Sus scrofa: one gene and its partners. The main gene of each other region encodes a partner of the protein of the gene in region 2 in a complex. Links are inferred from orthologs where the notes say so. Each region holds a gene or a part of one and is shown on either strand. Other genes may lie near its edges. The genes, in order: CBLL1, RBM15, METTL14, WTAP and ZC3H13.

Evidence for each region.
Region 1: RBM15 (region 2) and CBLL1 share a complex: the UniProt entries of both Homo sapiens proteins name them as parts of the WMM complex. The link is inferred for Sus scrofa from reciprocal best matches to the Homo sapiens genes RBM15 and CBLL1.
Region 3: RBM15 (region 2) and METTL14 share a complex: the UniProt entries of both Homo sapiens proteins name them as parts of the WMM complex. The link is inferred for Sus scrofa from reciprocal best matches to the Homo sapiens genes RBM15 and METTL14.
Region 4: RBM15 (region 2) and WTAP share a complex: the UniProt entries of both Homo sapiens proteins name them as parts of the WMM complex. The link is inferred for Sus scrofa from reciprocal best matches to the Homo sapiens genes RBM15 and WTAP.
Region 5: RBM15 (region 2) and ZC3H13 share a complex: the UniProt entries of both Homo sapiens proteins name them as parts of the WMM complex. The link is inferred for Sus scrofa from reciprocal best matches to the Homo sapiens genes RBM15 and ZC3H13.

What each region holds. Positions count from the first base shown.
Region 1 is NC_010451.4:107,466,640-107,470,154, reverse strand, and holds part of CBLL1 (E3 ubiquitin-protein ligase Hakai), read right to left. Parts: intron 3,506-3,515; coding exon 3,422-3,505; intron 2,367-3,421; coding exon 2,293-2,366; intron 1-2,292. UniProt on the Homo sapiens protein: E3 ubiquitin-protein ligase that mediates ubiquitination of several tyrosine-phosphorylated Src substrates, including CDH1, CTTN and DOK1. Targets CDH1 for endocytosis and degradation.
Region 2 is NC_010446.5:109,788,753-109,793,005, forward strand, and holds the start of RBM15 (putative RNA-binding protein 15), read right to left. Parts: upstream 2,804-4,253; 5' UTR 1-2,803. UniProt on the Homo sapiens protein: RNA-binding protein that acts as a key regulator of N6-methyladenosine (m6A) methylation of RNAs, thereby regulating different processes, such as hematopoietic cell homeostasis, alternative splicing of mRNAs and X chromosome inactivation mediated by Xist RNA.
Region 3 is NC_010450.4:105,026,103-105,029,617, forward strand, and holds part of METTL14 (N6-adenosine-methyltransferase subunit METTL14), read right to left. Parts: intron 3,414-3,515; coding exon 3,203-3,413; intron 1-3,202. UniProt on the Homo sapiens protein: The METTL3-METTL14 heterodimer forms a N6-methyltransferase complex that methylates adenosine residues at the N(6) position of some mRNAs and regulates the circadian clock, differentiation of embryonic stem cells and cortical neurogenesis.
Region 4 is NC_010443.5:7,648,470-7,652,623, forward strand, and holds the start of WTAP (pre-mRNA-splicing regulator WTAP), read right to left. Parts: upstream 2,804-4,154; 5' UTR 2,739-2,803; coding exon of another isoform or gene 2,566-2,738; intron 2,466-2,565; coding exon of another isoform or gene 2,300-2,465; intron 2,175-2,299; coding exon of another isoform or gene 2,171-2,174; intron 1-2,170. Other genes in the region: uncharacterized protein LOC102157641, read left to right, coding at 2,171-2,174, 2,300-2,465, 2,566-2,738, 2,812-3,622. UniProt on the Homo sapiens protein: Associated component of the WMM complex, a complex that mediates N6-methyladenosine (m6A) methylation of RNAs, a modification that plays a role in the efficiency of mRNA splicing and RNA processing.
Region 5 is NC_010453.5:21,375,548-21,379,062, reverse strand, and holds part of ZC3H13 (zinc finger CCCH domain-containing protein 13), read right to left. Parts: intron 3,143-3,515; coding exon 2,990-3,142; intron 1-2,989. UniProt on the Homo sapiens protein: Associated component of the WMM complex, a complex that mediates N6-methyladenosine (m6A) methylation of RNAs, a modification that plays a role in the efficiency of mRNA splicing and RNA processing.

The DNA of each region.
Region 1 (3,515 bases), on a different chromosome or scaffold from region 2:
TCTATTCTTGTCATTACAGTCTTCTTGATATAGTGGAAAGAGGACTGAACCAGGAACCAGAACTGGGATGTAGTATTTCTCGGCTGTGAACTTGGAGAAATCATTTAAACTTTGTTTCTTTATCTGTAAAATGGGGTTAAAACATCTACTCTACCTAACCAGAAAGGTTTTTATATCTTCTTTGTCCTACTTAAAAGAGTATCTTTGGGAGTTCTCTTGTGGCACAGCAGGTTAAGGATCTGGCTTTGTCACCACAGCAGCTTGGGTCACTGCTGTGGCACAGGTTCGATCCCTGGCTTGGGAACTTCCACACGCCACAGGCAAGGCGAAATAAAAAAAAAATTTTAATTAAAAAAAGGAGAGACAGTATCCTTAGTATCAAAACATGAAAATGACAGTACTTAATGCCTAGTTAAGCACTATACATGTATAAGCTATTATTACTGAATATGTCTGTCAGGTCACATGACACCATAATAAATGGTGCTATATTCTTAATTTTGAGTGCTATTTCTCCTTCCTTGTTGTAGGCTGGTTCTGCTTGATACTAGTAGGCTTTCCTTTAGTTGCCATTTGGCACACTCGTCATTTTTTGCTTCTAATTTGCTATAAGCTCTGAAATAGCACCACACTAACAGGATGTAAGGCACTTCTGGGTGATTCTTAAAAGCATTAGTATATAATATTTACATTAATTTGGACTGCCATTTCTTCACTTCCTAGCCTACATCTGTTAATCCAGGTAGGCTTATGTTCTAATACACTTTAAGACCAACCAGTAAGGTGCTTACTGGAATTATACTCAGTATCTTGAAAACTAAATTTCCTATTAAATATTAATACTAGAACATTTATATGAAAGAAAAAACGTTTTGATGTCCTCTACACAGCATTTTAAACATCCAAATTCCTTTATTCCAGTGAAGCAATCAAATTTACTATACAATCTAAAGTAGATGCACACCACGCTGGGAAATTAGGCATTAGAGAAAATGAGGCAAACAATGAATATGTGCTTGTAATGTCATGACTTCTGAAGCATAATTCTAGGGAGGAAATTTTTTGGTTTTTTTTTTTTTAGGGCTGTAGGACCGCAGCATATGGAAGTTCCTAGGCTAGGGTCCAATCACAGCTGCAGCCACTGGCCTATACCACAGCCACAGCAACACCAGATCCAAGCCACATCTGCAACCTATACCACAGCTCATGGCAATGCCAGATCCTCAACCTATGTAGCTCAGCCAGGGACTGAACCTGCATCCTCATGGATGCTAGTTAAGATTCATTTCCGCTGAGCCACGACGGGAGCTCCTAGGGAGGAAATATTTTTAAACTCTCACTACAAATTCTATAATCTGTGATTCTGACAGGCTAATACAGATATGCCAAGAAAATTAGTTGTCAGTGGTTTGCCAATGAATCATCCATTCTCTTTCAGTCATGCCAATGTTTCTATACTACAAAAGAAAATTACTCCTTACAAGTGTCCATAGCTTTGTTATCAACTAACACTACGACCCTTGGGATAGGTTCTGACATAGGTTATAGGGAATCTAGGAAGCCTATAGTTGCTCTAAGTTCCCTCAAAGCTTTTCTCAAGCCTTCTATCAGCACTTCTGAATTGATGTAAAAATTCAGTTTATTCCGGATCCTTCAAGACCATCCCAAAAAAGATTACTACCAACCAGCACTTCCAGATCTTTATAATCTGTCTGAGTCTATGCCATGATGGTATTCTACGATATAGCCAAAACATAATCAGCTTTGAAGGTAATAAGTAATAAAAGCTTATACTTACACAGCATTTACTACGTGGTAGATACTATATATGTATTAACTCATTTAATTCTAATAATAATAATCCAGGGAGGTAAGTACTATTATTAGCTCCATTTTACAAATGAAGAAAGCCTAGGCCACACAGCTAATAAATGACAAAGTAGGGATCTGAACTCAGGAATTCTAATTCCAGAGTTTTTACTCTCAATTATTACATGATACTACATCTCTATTGTGCCATTAAAACAAGAAAATAACTATTTTTGGTTTATAATGCTAACTTCGTGATGGCAAATATACTTTTATTTTGACCAATTTGAATTGATTGATAATAGCTAATTAGTCCTATCCTAGGGAGAAAGCTAAGGTCAACTCCAGGCTCACAAAAATGATCTGCTATGTCCACACATCTGATATCCTTCCACTGGTTTATATCACACCCTGATCTTTAATCTATATTACAAATCATTACATCGCAAACTTTATTATTTAAATATTTAATGATGATCTTACCCTGGACACATCTTATCCCCCTTTTTTTCATGTAAAATAGCACAGTCATAGCAAAAAACATGCTTGCATGGAATCTGTAAACAGAAACATATTACAGTTAAGCATACTAGAACAAATAAAAATATTTCCACAAAAAATAACAGCAGCATAGTGATCTGAGAAGAAAGTTGCTAAGAAGGCACCTGAGAACTGTTTCTTACAATGAACATTTATTAAGTACTAAATATATGAAAACAACAATTAAGAGAGTGTGATGAAAACTTTGGCCCTTTCCCCAATAAACGTACACATGCACATTTGCTTACACATTCATGGTCCCTACAGGTTAAAAAGCTCCTGAGGAATACTGTAGAATGTCATAGTGAATCCTGTATCTCCTGAAAGTATTCCAAAGCAGTAAAAGAACAAGTATCTTCTACATTTAATATACATAGCATTCTTCCCTGGTAGTCTTAAGTTAATGAATTTAACAAATCTCTAAAAACAAATCAGAAGGACAGAGTAAAATGATGTTACACCATTTAAAAACTCACAGCCCATTACTGCTACTTAGTTATGTTATGGACCAAAGCAACAGTCCATAATCCATGCCCTCTACCATCACAGATACAACACAGAATTCAATTTTTTTTCCCAACACAAATATAAAACTATCTTTTTCTTAAGGGAGGATATGTCAAAATAACTATAAAGTTACCAACAGGGCTGTATTTTTTTCTAATGATTAGAATTCAATTCTCAGAAACCATCAAAAATTCTATAAATTCAGTTTTACATTGAAGATTATAGTCTTCAGAAATGAATAACTGATTTTATTCTATTAAGCAAGAAAAAAAATTTCCCCAATAAACTAGAATAAATGTAGACTAACAGATTTCAAACAGTCCAAAGAAATTATCTGGCTTTCAATTAGCTTCCTTAACTAATTATTTTACAAGCAATTCAAGAATTTGTCAAGATAATTATATTAAATACTTATTATCCCCAAATTTCCCATAGCTATTTTATACTTATTTAAAATATTACAAATTTAAACATTAAACAATGATAAACTTAGCTACTTAAATTTCAGGATCCTACCTCTACACAAATATTTACACTTAAAAAAATAGAATTTAGTTTTACTTACCATTCGCCCATAGATTTTAATAGGCAATCCACATTTATCACAGAAATGAACTGGTGTATCATCCTTTTCACCCAAGATGTTTATCTGTTGAAAT
Region 2 (4,253 bases):
AAAGTTAAGCCACTTTAACTAGTGTTATAGCCAATCCAAATAAATTAAGCTCCCAGGTGATTATTTTTGACCTAAATTGACTTGCTTAGATGACTCACTGGTCAAAAAAAAGACCAAATAAGTTTAGTTTCCTAAGCCTCACGATATAGACTGAGGGAGCATGAAAGTTGAAGGAGAAATTCAGGGAGCCTATACTGGTATGTGTGGCAGTGGCCAGGGCTCTGCTAGGCTTAGTGGCTTGCCATTCAAAATACCAGAAAGCTTGATGGAAGCTATTGCCCACATGTGGCTGCAGCAGGAAGGCTTAGCTAAGCGGGGGTGGGGGGGGGGTGACAGCCTATCTCGTATCAAGAGGACTGGTAAATTAATGGGTAGACAGAAATAGCCTGGATTCCATTATCTCTTTTGATAACTAGAGTCAAAACATAATTGTGTGTGTGTGCACACGTACAAGTGTCCACGACAGAAGTGAAAAATGACATGGTATGTTGATCCAAGCTATAGTTAAAATAAGTGATTTGTTTTCATTTTCTTTGTGTTCTTTAAAGTATGAAGTGCCTTAGTGAGGGTGTATCAGCCTATGTTCACACATGTGCTTTAGAGAGGGCTGAAAGAGGATAAAAGTGACCCATGGTTTAGAAAGCCAAGACTGAGCACTTTTTCTAGTGTTGGTGATGGAGCTGTTGAGGTCCCGTCCAGGCTTTCATCTGGTCTTGTGATCTCTGGCCAGATTTGCGAGGGTAACTGGCCCGGTGAAGAGGATCTTTCAGCGGTCAGGAAAACACAGATTCCCTGAGCATCAGAGCAGCATGTTGATCTCTCCTTTCAATGCCTTGTCAGAAACCAAAAAATAGTGTTGAGGAAAGTAGCCATTGCCTATTCTGACCTCAATGCTGACCCCTTGGAGCCTTGGAGCTGTACAACTCAAACGCCCTAGAGGAAACAGCCCAGGCGGAGAGCAAACATAGCTAAGCTGTCTAAATGAAGTGCTTTCTCCGTCTCCTATAAAATCAGTTTTAGATTAAAAAGGAAAAGCAAAATAAAAGTTATGCACATGAAAGAAAGTTGTGCAATTAAAAGGTATCAGTGTTTTCAATCAAATGTGCTCTTTCCACCCCTTCCTTCCTATGTTTTATTATTTGTGTATTCTCAATACACACAGAGACAGTTATGATTACAATATGAAATTTGTCCTGGGCGCTGAAAGCCATTTGATTTCCTGGCAGATGCAAAAAAAAAAAAACCCTGAAGCTGGGGATTTAAAAAACAATTCTCCCGCTCATAGTAGTAGATTAAAATTTTCTGTTTCATTTTCTTGCAAAGTGAGTGGTCTCCTGACTGTAATGCTTGTTTTGTTTGCAGAATACGTCTCTTTTACCCATAGACATATATGCAATAGCTAAAATAGCAAACAATCACTTAGAACACAGTTTGCATCCTAAAGTCATTTATTTGTGGTTTGTGGGGGTTTTTTTTTAAAAAAAAGCTTTATTAAGATATAATTTATATACCATAAAGTTTACCCATTTAGAGCTTACAATTCATTGGTTTTTAGTATACTTAAAGAGCTGTGCGTGTGGCTCATCCTGCAGCACTGTTACAGAAAGCCTCTGCTATAATTTCTCCTAGGTGACTAAGCCCTAATATAATTATCTCTTTCATTTATTTAGACATTTTATAGGGCAGTAGTTAAGAGCATGAACTCTAGAACCAGCTAGCCTGGATTAAATCCCAGCTCTGCTGTGGGTCTCAAAAGAGTTACTGTTAATCCCTCTGAGCCTTTATTTTCTCATCTATAAAATGGGAACAATCATAGAACCTCTTTACTGGGAGGATTAAAAGGGTTAAAATATATGGTTGGCATCCTCAGAGTCAACCAACCATGGGTCATCTGACTGTACAAGGAGCTTAGAAGAGTGCCTGGCACATGGTAAGCATATATTGCTATCACTAGTATATTTTCTCTTTGAACTTAAGTACGTAGAATTGAATTAATCACAATCCTTAGTTCATGACACACAATCATCAGTGGTTCATCTATGGGCCTTTAAACTTTTCACTTAGTCAAGAACATAATGAATACCCATGAACCTATCATTCAATCCAACAAGTAGAAAGTTACCAATAATCTGCATCTACCTAAATGTTCCTCCCTTATCCACTGCCTACCCTCATAGATAGCAACTATCCTGAACCTGGTATTTAGCAATCCCTTGTTTTGTTTTAAAAACTTAAAAAAATTTTTAAGGAACTTTAAGGAATCCATATATGTGTATGCGTGCAAATGTGTGTTCACGCACATGCACATACATGCGCCTTAAATGTATGTTATTTTAGTTTTGCTCGTTTTGTAACTTCATACTAACTTGTAATCTGAGATTTGCATTTTTCACTCATTATGTTACTATGACTCTTTTTTATTATCAGAAGACTTTCAAGAAATGGATCATTTCCTTCTCTTTTGATGTTCTGAGATTGTTATGCTGCCATATGATCTAATACGGCTTTTCAAGTTCCAGCCATAAAATAACCATTCCAGTCACCCAGCGGGTGAAGATGGAACAACATGTCCTCCTCCTTTTAAGACACTTCCCAGAAGTGACTCACTAAAACTCCGCTTCTATCTCATTCACCAAAACATAGACCTGCAACCACACTTAGCAAGGAATGCTGGGGGGTATAATTCTGTATCTTACTTTAGCCCAACTAAAAATCAGGAGTCTTAAAAAGAAAAAAATTTATTGAAACTTCGTTCATTTACAATGTTGTGCCAATTTCTGCTGTACAGCAAAGTGACCCAGCTCTACATTCTTTTTCTTACATTATCTTCCATCATGGTCTCTTCCAGGAGATAGTTCCCTGTGCTATACAGTAGGACCTTATTTTTTAGCCATTCTAAATGTAATAGTTTGCATCCACTAATCCCAAACTCCCAGTCTATCTCACTCCCTCCCCCTTCCCCTTGGCAACCACAAGTCTGTTTTCTGCCTCTGTGAGTCTGTTTCTGTTCTGTAGATAGGTTCATTTGTGCCATATTTTAGATTCTACATGTAAGTGATATCATATGGTATTTGTTTTTCAGGGGTCTTATTTCTAAGGAAAAGAGGGAGAACAGGTCTTGGGGTCACCAACAGTCTCTTCCACAACTACCTACAGGGTGAATTTCAAGACACAATGTATATAAAGCTGATGGTACATACTTAGCAAGAGTCAATTAAAACAGTCATTTTATGATTTCCCTTACATTATCCAATTTAATCCTCATAGTAATCATATGCGTTAGGGCAAATATGATTATCTTAATTGCAGACTTGGAAACTGAGATTTAGAGAGGCTAATTACAGCTGTGCCAGTGGTGGTAATTTTTGTTTGTTTTGTTTTAAAGAAAGAGGCAGTAGAGTCAAAGGGAAAGGAGCAGGAGCCCAAATCTAGAGTCCTAGCTTCTCTTGACAAAATCTGCCTCCCATAAAATCCTAGAATTCTATGTTCTGTGACTTTCTGGATCTGGCACATAAATCCGCAGGGTGTGGGACAGAACCTGAGGCCAGTAACTACCACTGTGGGTCGCTTTCCACCATATCCCGTGTGAACCTGGTTGTTGGAAACGACATGCTCTTCAGCAGCAGCCTCTCCTTCCCACAGGTTGAAATCTGAACAAATAAATGAGATTACATAACTCACAACTAGATAATAAAAATAAAAGCCAGCCTTTACTGAGTAATGACATACCAGGTGCTCTGCTAAAACTTTCCTCCCATTGGCTTGCTTTAGCCTCGCAACAACCTGTGGAGATGGATAGGCTTATAATTCTCTCTTTTTTTTTTTATCAGTTAAGGAAACTGAGGTTTAGAGAGCCAATATAATTTACAGATATTTAAGAAGAATAATATATGTCCTATAGAATTATTTGTTTTTTTTCCCAGTCTGTGAAAAGCATTTGTTTTGAAGTCATCCTTACATATTATGGGTGACTCCCCAGTGTTCATTCTCCCCTTCTTTGCAGTACTTTGACAGGAAAATATTTTATAACAAATGATATAGACAATTCCTTAGGTAACTAATGTAGTGGGAAAATACATAGTAACTGTGTTAGTATCTGCCTGCTTTAAGAATGGTGCTTTACTATTTACAATAGCCAAGACATGGACACAACCTAAATGTCCACCGACAGATGAATGGATAAAAGACACACACACACACACACACACACACACACACACACACACACACACACACACACACACACACACACA
Region 3 (3,515 bases), on a different chromosome or scaffold from region 2:
AGAAATACAACCAATTTCTGACTGTTATTGATGTTACTTTCTTTTAAGCCAGTGAAAAGAAAACATTTGCTTGTCACAAGCTCTGCTGCCAAAATATTTTACTTTGATAAGAGAATAAAATCATCCACAAAACTTCTAAACAAGGTGTTCATTATGCACAGTGGAAGTCTAAACAACTCAAAGCTCATTCTATAGCTTTATATATAATAACTTATGCAAGAATTGAACGTTGAGCAAAACTTGCCAAAAAGATTAAGGAAACTATGAAGTTTAAACCATAGCATTGCCACCCTTTAAAAATCAACATACTATTTTAATTTAGAATTTCATAATTCAAGGATGAATGCTGCAATTTCCAAGATAATCACTGAGGGAACAGTAAAAGAACATGTAATTAACAAGCTAATAAAAAAGAAAAAAATGAGTAATATAAGAATACCTGAATCAAGCCAAAGAAATGAGAGAAAAAGGAATATAAAACAGGTGGTAACAACATAAAGCAAACAGTAAGATGGTAATTACGACATATATAGCAGGAATTACATTAAATACAGACTGATTAAACAATTCAATTAAAAGAAAAAGACAAGGAGTTCTCATTGGCACAGCAGGATCTGGTGGTGTCACTGCAGTAGCCTGGGCCACTGCTGTAACATGAGTTCAATCCCTGGTGTGGGAACTTCTATATGCCATGGAAGCAAACACACAAACAAAAAAAGATAACAATAACTGGATGAAAACCAACTATATGTTGTTCACAAGAGATACACCTTAAAGGTAAGGCTATAGAAGACTGAAAATAAGATGGAAATAATATATGATGCAAACACAAACCAAAAGAAAGCTGGGATAGCTATGATAATGTCAGATGAAGCAAGATTTAGACTAAGAAACAATGGATAAAGAAGGACACTTCATAATATTAAGATGGTCAAGCTACTAGGAAGGCATAAAAATTCTACATTATATACGTCTAACAGCAGAATAGCAAATATAAATAAAAAACTGACAACTAAACAAAATCACAACCCATAAATTTCATATTTAATATACCTTTCTCACAGAATAAGCAGTTAAAAAAATCAGTAAAGTCATGGCAGAAATCAACAATAAATAAATACTACAGTAATAAATAAATAAATCAGCAATAAATAAATACTACAACCAACAACAAAAATAATACATGTTCCTATCAACTGGACTTGGAATATTTATTTAAATTGGATCAAACGCAAATCTCAACAAACTACAAATGAGTGAAATCTTAAGGTGTGTGTTATATGACCACAATATTATGCCAAAAAGCAGTAACAAAATGATAATTTAAGCAACTCAATCCTGAATAACAAACCGCCAGGAGAGAAAACATTTACTTTTAAATATAGGAAACATTTTCTCTAAAGCCAAAATCCACAATAAACCTCCCTCTCTTTTTTTTTTTTTTTTTGCTTTTTAGGGCCACACCTGCGGCACAGGGAAGTTCCCAGGCTAGGAGTCAAATTGCAGGTGTAGGTGCCGACCTATGACACAGCCACAGCAACACTAGATCAAAGCCGTGTCTGCAATCTACATTGCAGCTCACGGCAATGCCAGATCCTTAACCCACTGAGCGAGGCCAGGGATCAAACCCACATGCTTATGGGTCCTAGTCAGGTTCATTACTGCTGAGCCACAATGGGAACTCCCAGAATAAACATTTCACATGCAAAATATTTATTCATAAAAAGAATGTAGTTTTATTTTTCTATCATTTTACACAACTTTATGAAATTCGAGACCATCAGTTCATCAAAGCAATTCACAAAGAAATAGCTGATTAGGCTGGAGAGGTAGGGAGAGGAGGGACAGATTATATTACACATATATACATAGATTATGTATATAAGGCAGCTTTTAAGGATCACTTTTTTTCAGAATGAACATCAGAGTTTCTAAATTCTAAGGTATTTCTAAGGACAATTATTCTACTGTAACTTTTTCAACTTTTACTTTTTATAAAATGTAGATTTAAAACAAGTAAGATTCTGACTCCTTTCATCTTTAAACAGAATTTCTTTTTTTTTTTTTTTTTTTTTTTTGGTCTTTTTGCCTTTTCTAGGGCTGCTCCCGCAGCATATAGAGGTTCCCAGGCTACAGGTCCAATCGGAGCTGTAGCCACCAGCCTACAACACAGCCACAGCAACGCGGTATCCGAGCCACATCTGCAACCTACACCACAGCTCACGGCAACGCTAGATCTTTAACCCACTGAGCAAGGCCAGGGACTGAACCCACAACCTCACGGTTCCTAGTCGGATTCGTTAACCACTGTGCCACAAAAGGAACTCCTAAACAGAATTTCTAGCTGATAGAGCTAGAGCAAATGAGAAAATGTGGTCCATGCCAAATGGTTTTGGACAGGGCCAAATATCAAGAACCTTTTGGCACTGACCTTATGGACCAAACATCTTATGGATGTTTTAAACAAGACTAAATATCAAGGACATTTTGGTGTGGACCAAATGTCCACTTGGCTCAACACAGTATTTACTGAATAACCTGAATGGCAGGTAGAAAGAAGAGAATAAGACAATCTTTGCTTTCCATGAGACTGCATGCTAAAGAGAAAGAGTAAACATATGCTCAAATGAATCTACAATTCAGTTAACAGTAAGTGCTTTATGAAGAAAAAGAAAAGAGATCAAAGGGAGAGAGAGTGGTGAGAGGAGGGAGTGAAGTGGGAAGTTGGCTAATTGAGACAGGGTTGTGACAAAGGTCTGTCAGGTGTCTGCATGATAGCAGAGAGGACCATGGAAGAGTAGTGAGACAAGAATGAGCTTGGCATGTTCTAAGTGCATCAAGAAGAGGAATCGAACACATCCTAACAATTTTATTTTACAAAGCACTGGGTGCTACTTCTTTTTGTCTTTTTAGGGCCACACTTGCAGCCTATGGAGGTTCCCAGGCTAGGGGTTGAACTGGAGCTGTAGCCACTGACCACAGCCACAGCAACACGGGATCCAAGCCACGTCTGCAACCTACACCAAAACCCATGGCAACGCCGGATCCTTAAGCCACTGAGTGAGGCCAGGGACTGAACCTGTGTCCTCATGGATGCTAGTCAGATTCGTTTCCACTGAGCCACGACAGGAACTCCTGTGTGCTACTTCTTAACATCTATGTTCCAAGGAACTATAAAAGTTTTTTTCCTCTGACATCTTACCTGGTCGAATTGTACTATCTCGTCCAAATAGATGAAGGCGTCTTCTACCAAGACAAAAATGTTCAATTATATGAAAAATTTCTACAGGCTTTTCTATATTGCCAATTTCAGGTTCTTCTGTGATAATCAAGTCAATGTCAACATTAGCATGAATGAAGTCCCCGTCTGTGCTACGCTTAACAGTTCCTTTGATTCCCATAAGGCAGTGTTCCTAAATAACAGTAAGAGCACAACGATTAATCCCTTTTCATCAACAGTCATATGTTACAACATTTTACATTTCTGATGTACCCAATTCCAAAACAATCCTCAT
Region 4 (4,154 bases), on a different chromosome or scaffold from region 2:
AAATACTATTTTATGTTGTATGTAAAAGTTTGTTATCCACGTCAAGAACTCAGAAATAATATAGTTCTCGTGTTTAGAATGTCAGAATCTACTCTTGATGCTTTACACTGACAGACAGCTTTGGCTGGAGAACTCAGTTTTGGCTGGCTAGGTGTCTAGCATCCCAGATTCCAGTACTTCCCTGGCTCTTGGTGTCGTAAGTTCTCCCTTAACAGAGCATCACGCACTAGCCCACACAACTTCAGTAAGAAAGCATGTACCTCGCTGAAACTAATCATAATCCAACTTAAGGAACTAATCTGACACTGTAAAGTCTACTAGTGAGGAACTGGAAGACCAGCTTGTCTTGACTATGTAGCAGCAAGCCACTACTTGGACTGCAGTCTCCCAATCAGCAAGAAGAGGATACCAATTTTCCCTGCTTTGCAAAGTGCCGCACATCTCAATGCTTCAAGTGCCATAAAGATGCCATACAAACAAAAAAAATTCAAATTTAAATACTAACATTAACATAAAAGAGAACTTTAATGTGCTTTTAGGAAAGATTAAATTCCACCAACTATATTTCAAGACTTGAGAACATTTACTTATAGCACTGGTTCTAACCTGATGCACCACCTTTATATCCAATGAGATACACTGTTATAAGAATCGAAGTTTTGCTCTGACAAGCTTGGCAGAAAATATTTAGAGGCAGAAGAGTGAGTGATAATAAAAAACAAGAATAAACCAAATGAACACTATCTAGGTCTTGTTTTGCCAAAGGATCCCACAAATTTTTAGGAGCAAGGAACATTTTTTTCAGAAGTGAGATAATGTACAATTATATGAAAATGATCAACAAGACATCTAAAAAAATGTTGTCTAGGGTATTCCAGTCTACATATATACACACAAAACTGTAAGGGACCCTGAAAACTAATAACTTCATAATTATTAGCTTTCAGAGCTAATAACTTCTAATAACTTGTATTACTGCAACTGTCATCTCCACGTCATAACGCTGCCATGGGTTTTCTACACTATACTAACTCATTTCTGGCAAATACACAAAATTCAACCAGAAATCTAGATATTATTAAGTTTCATAGATGAGCTAAGTAAAAAACAGCAGTGCCTGGGACACACTTATTATTACTTTTGTCCTTCTGGACTTCGAAATTGCCTGAGTTCCACCACTGAGAAGTGAAAATACTGATCACTTAACTACAGCCATCTGCTTAAAATAATGCAAGATTTGAAAGAACTCAAGGAATACAGCCACCCAAACCCTTAAAATCGAACCCCATCTTTATCACAAGTCCCAATTTCTTTAAATTTTTTTTGTTTTTGTCAAATTTTTTGTCTTTTAGTCTAAAATTTTTATTATAGTTAATTTACAATGTTCTGTCAACTTGTATTGTTCAGCAAAGGGACCCAGTTATTTATATATATATATACATACACACACACTTTTTCTCACATTGCCCTGCATTGGGTTCCACTACAAGTGATTAGATACAGCTCCCTGTGTATACAGCAAGATCTTTCCCAATTTCTAATGCTCGTGATTTCTTTTCCCAACTTGCCTAATCGGACGCTACTGAATGACAGGTGTAAATAAATAAAATGCAGGCATCTTGCAATTTTTTAACAGAGCTTTAAATACCTCTATGTTTATGTCACAGAAACCTTAACAGTCAAAATTTTAAAATAAAAAACTCAGTGGATAATCACTTCCACTGTACGCCTGACACTCATGTAACATTGTAAATCAACAATTCAAGTTTTCTTTAAAAGTGCAAAAAACCCGCTTAGAACTTGGGGTGAAAGACCTGTGACTTCCACTTTTCTTCTTCAGCAATGGAATTAATTAAATTCTGAGATGGAAAACGAGAGGAGCAACTCAGGACTGTAACATACCCATGGAAGTATTTTTCTATCTCGGGCAAAAGAACAGTTTCCTACTTCACAATCAGGGTTCCTTAGGATTTTCACATAGTCCTTTGGGATCAAACAGCCAAGTGACTTCATCAAAACAAGAACCTGGACTTTCCCACTGAGGTGTTCCCCACTGACTAGAGAAACAGGGTTCTAAGAAATTAAAAACAGCTTTATAGGAATCCAAGACGAGAGTTTAAAATGCTATGAAGATCTCGGGCTCAAAAGAGCATGTATTTTAAAAACCACGATGCGTGCAATCATTTGAAAATGGAAGTCCACAAGAAAACGCAGCGGCGGTAATACCCCACTGCGCGACGTGAAATTCGGTCAACGAACGCTGCTTTCCCTCCCCTGCTGAGCTCGTGGGTGCCGCCAGACCGCGGGATCCGCTCGAAAGGAGGTGGGCGCCGGCGGCACCGAGGCGGGGACGGGACGCGCGCCGAGGGGGCGGCCTCCCGGTGCCGCCGGCCCGCGGGAGCGCCCACCTCGCCCTCGGGCCCGGAGACGGAGAGCGAAGGTAAAATGGCCTCGGGGCGGCGGAAGTGTGCCCGCAGCAGGAAGGCGGCGCGGCTAACGGGAGGCTGGCGGGCCCGGGGACCCCGAGTCGCCCTCCGTGCCCTGTCCGCCCCTTTGCCGGGCCAGGCGGCCGCGCCTCAGCCCCGGGGACCCTGAGGTCCTCGCCGCCGCTCTGGCCGGGGCCCGGCCCGCACCTACCTCTCCGGACGGAGGCCGCGCGGGCGCCGCCCAGTCACATAGGCCGACCGCGCGCCGCCGCTCGCTGCCCGGGCCGCCCGACCGCGCTGCCGCCGGCCCCCGCGCGCCTCCTCCCGCCGCAGCCCTGGCGCTCCCCTTTATTTGCGGGTCTCGCTGCCACAAAATGGCGCTGAGGGAGGAAGCGAGGCCCCGTCGCCCCACCCCCTTCCCCGCTCCTCCCGCCGCGCCGCCCCGCCCCGCGCCGCCGCCGCCGCCGGCGCCCGCCCTTCTCCATCCCGCCATGTTCGCGCTCGGCCCGCTCACCGACGAGTCACCTCCCGGACGCGGACGCAGCGACCCGCCCGCCAGGCCCCGCCGCGGAGAGGAAAGACGAATGGAAGGCGCCCGCTGGGGGCCTCGAGGCGCTCGGGGAGGAGCTGCGCCTAGTGGCACGGCCCGCGGCCGCCCCAGCGCTTCCAGCTCGGCGGGGGCGGGGAGGGAAGCGGGCCGCGGGGAGGGGTGAGCCGCGAGGTCGCAGGTCAGCCGCGGGGCATCACGGGAAGGCCGGCGGGGGTCGCGCTCGGTGGCGCTGGTTGGACGCGCTCGCTGGGCCACCTGCGGCTGCAGCGCGGCCTCTGGCGGAGGAATCTGGGCGAAGGCGGCGCGTGATTGGCCGCGTCTTGGTGCAGCTCCCAGCCGTGGTGCTTCCGCGTGCTGGCGGCCAGGTGCGACCTCGGCAGCGGGCCGTGGGCTGGGCGGCTGGGCAGTGTGGACTCCGCGAGGCCTCACTAGGTTTTGAGAATTTAGAAACCGGGGCTCCCTCTTTCTTCGGGAAGGACGGCCTCTTGGACGCTTGGTTTGTCCCCGCCTTGACATCTCGAGGCGCAACCGGGGAGCTATTGTTGTCTAGCGGAGAGGTTGTGCGTATGTCAGCAGCCCTAGGGGCACCTTGGTCATCCAGAAACAAGGGACCGGAGAACCTTGGAAGGTTTTTGAACCTAGTAATGTAAGTTTTAAAATTTGAATATATTCAGGTAATTCTTTTAATTTGGCTGGTATTATCTAGCCTTACCCAAACCATTTATCCTCAGGACGTGTGCTGGAATGAGATAATCTATAAGGATAGTATTAAAGTGTGTTCAAAGACCAAAATCCGAAGAGAAAAATGGGCAAGGCATGAATAGACATTTCACACCAAAGAACAGCAATGATCCTTAAATATGAACGGTTGTTTGTCCTCGCGCGTAATGGAAATGCACATTGGAATTCTACGAATAAACCGTGCTCATTAACCTTCTGGTAGGAATTGGAAAGTGATTCAAGCCCTATGGAGTACCAAGATTATATATGCACTTATTCACATGTCTTGCAAATTCCACCTCTAACCCTAACCTGATTCTGAAAATACATCCTCACATACAGAAATAACATGTAGGCAAGGTTTCTTGTTGCACTGTCCTCACAGAAGTTTAGAAATCGGAGTTCCTGTTGTGGCTCAGCGGTTAACAAACCCAACTAACATCCATGGGTTCGATCCC
Region 5 (3,515 bases), on a different chromosome or scaffold from region 2:
ACCCCTAGCCTGGGAACCTCCATATGCCACAGGTGCGGCCCTTAAAAAAAAAAAGGGCAGAGGATCTGAATAGACATTTCTCCAAAGAAGGCATACAGATGGCCAATAGGCATATGAAAAGATGCTCAATATCACTAATCATCAGGGAAATAAATGCAAGTTAAAACCACAGTGAGATATATCTCACACCTGTCAGAATGGCTATTATCAAAAAGACAAGAAACAAGAATCGTTGGCGAGGATGAGGAAAAAAGGATACTCACATATGCTGCTGGTAGAAATGTCAACTGGTGCAACCAGTAGGGAAAAAGTCTGGAGGTTTCTCAAAAAAAAAAAAAAAAAAACCACCCAGCAATTTCACTTCTGGGGATATACAAACAAAATACTAATTTGGAAATATATATGCACCCCTCACTGTAGCATCATCTACAGTAGCCAAAGTAGAAACAACCTCAGCGTCCACTGACAGATGAACAGACGGAGGTATGAGACACATATCTGTGTACACTGAAATATATCCCCCCCCACACACACAATGGACTACTACTCAGTCATAAGAAAGAAATCTCGCCAATTTGAGACACACAAAAGGGCCCTAAAGATACTATGCTCAGTGAAATAAGTCAGAGAAAGATGAATACAATTTCACCTACATGTGCAATCTAGAAAGTAAAAGAATCAAACAATACAAAAGGGAAACCAAACTTACAGAAACAGAGAACAGATCGACGGTCTCTAGAGGGGAAGGGATTTGAAGGTTAAACAAAATGGATGAAGGGTATCAAGAGGTACAAACTTCCAGTCACAAAATAAATACATCATGGGGATGTAATGTACAGCCAGGTAACTATAATCAATAACATCGTATTTCAACATTAAAAGTTGCTAGGAAGTAAATCTGAGAAGTTCTCATCACAAGAAAAACACCTGTGTAACTCTGCATGGTGACAGATGGTTACTGTGGTGATCATTTCGCAATGTATACAAATGTCGAATCATTATGTTGTATACGTGAAACTAATACAATAAATGCATAATATAGGTTAATTATACTTCAACTAAAAAAAACACAAAAAACCCAAAACTAAAAAACAGGCAAGCAAACCAAACCTAAGCAAACCCATTCCTAACACAATGCATTTAAATTGCTTGAGAGATCCTCAATGAAAGAACTCATTATTTCACTAAGATAAAGTCTGATGTTTTGAAATTTGGTACCAGAATCTTTTCAAGGGTTAAATCTAGGAGTATTTAGTGTGCATGTGCGTGTGCATACACAGACAAAAAAAAAAAAAAAAAAAAAAAAACAGTTTAAGTTTGGTTTTTTTTGGCCGCAGCATACAAAAGTTCCTGGGCCAGGGATCAAACCCGAGCCATGGCAGTGGCGATGCCAAGTCCTTAACCTCAAGGCCACCAGAGAACTCTCAGAACTTTTTTTTTTTGGTCTTTTTCTTCAGGGCCGTACCTGCAGCATACACAAGTTCACAGTCTAGGGGTCAAATTGGAGCTGCGGCTTCTGGCCTATGCCACAGCCACAGCAATGCCAGATCCAAGTTGCCCTTCGACCTACACCGTGGCTTACAGCAATGCCAGATCCTTAACCCACTAAGTAGGGATCAAACCCACGTCCTCATGGATACCAGTCGGGTTCGTTACCGCTGAGTCACAACGGGAACTCCTTTTTTTTTTTTTTTTTTTTTAAAGTGTACTTTTAAAAAACAAATAATTCATCACCGCTGTGGCTCAGATAGCTGCTGTGGTACAGGTTCAATCGTGGCCCGGGAACTACTGCATGCCACAGGTGTAGCCAAAAACAAATAAACAAAAAGCAAAACAAAAAACCAAGTAATGCATTATAAAATTACTTTAAGAATCAGGCAGTGGCTATGATTAAAATTGAGAATAATCTATTCATTGATAAAGAACAGTTTACAAAATTAACAAAATAATGTTCTATTTAGAAATACCTAATAGCTGGTGATAATAAAGATAAAACATAAATGTACATTAGTAGAAAAAAACTGGAAAATATAAGAACAAATTAAATCAAAATAAAATTTAATATTCTGGAGTTCCCGTCGTGGCGCAGTGGTTAACGACTCCGACTAGGAACCATGAGGTTGCGGGTTCGGTCCCTGCCCTTGCTCAGTGGGTTAACCATCCGGCGTTGCCGTGAGCTGTGGTGTACGTTGCAGACGCGGCTCGGATCCCGCGTTGCTATGGCTCTGGCGTAGGCCGGTGGCTACGGCTCCGATTCAGCCCCTAGCCTGGGAACCTCCATATGCCGCGGGAGCGGCCCAAGAAATAGCAACAACAACAACAACAACAACAAAAGACAAAAAAAAAAAAAAAAAAAAAAAAAAAAAAAAAAAATTTAATATTCTACATACCCAAAGACCCTCACTATGACTAAAAAAAATATTCTGTAGTAACGATCAGACTAATTGGGACGATTCAACAAGAACATTAAGGGTTGCTGCTTCATGGTACAGTCACTGGAGCAAGCTCTAGCTATGAATAAAGTACTGTGAGTGAAAATAATTACTGAATTTAGAAAACTGATAGAGGTATATAAATAGTGTTCAAATATAATTTCAACCTTTGTAAATTCTGGAACGGTTGTTTCAAAACTTGGTTTGTGGCAGCACAGCTGTGAAGCTCTGTACCAGGTACCTACCATTGAGAATACTGCTAGACAATTACTATTTGGTTAAATTCCAGGTCATGTAATATGAATTAAACTCTGGAAAGATAATCTTACAATTTTGCTATTTTAAATATTGCCCTTTCCAATTTACAGGCAACTGTCTACTTAAAAATAAGCAAAGCATATTAACTATAATTTTCATTTTATTGACCTCTCAATGTTAATTACAACATAAATGGGAAAATTCTGTTTTATCAATTCTTCCAGTGTGAAAGGGAACAAAGAATACCTCAATACCATGATTAAATATTTTGTATGTTCAACACCTCTGCAAATGATTACCTGGCATCTTCTCCTCATCCTGTTGGTCCTCCCTCTTTTCGGCATCACCTGCCAGAATTTCATCTAGTTCATCATCACTAATTGGCTCGTATCCTTCTCCAGCCCCAGATCCTAACGAATGTGCATCGTCTAACTTAGATTCGTCATCTCCTGCTGAAGGGAAAAATTAATTTCACATCAAAGAGAGCATTAAGGGAAAGAGACTTTTTAGTGAAACCAAAGAGGAGAGACTGTGCACACTAAAAAAATGGAAAAGCATTTTTTATTTGACAACTACATTTCTTATTCAATACACTCAATAATTCTAAAAGAAAACGTAAACTGTATTAGTTAAACTTAGTTTTAATGGCAAGAACACAATATGGACAGCAATATCAAAAGAGGTTAAAAGACTATAATTAAAACATGAGAAATAAAATCTACCAACATTAACTGCTAATTTTGTTAATTTTTTATAAGAAAACTTTACGTAAATCCAGAGAAATCTACTAATTTCAAAAGGATGCCTTCATTTCTTTATTGAAAT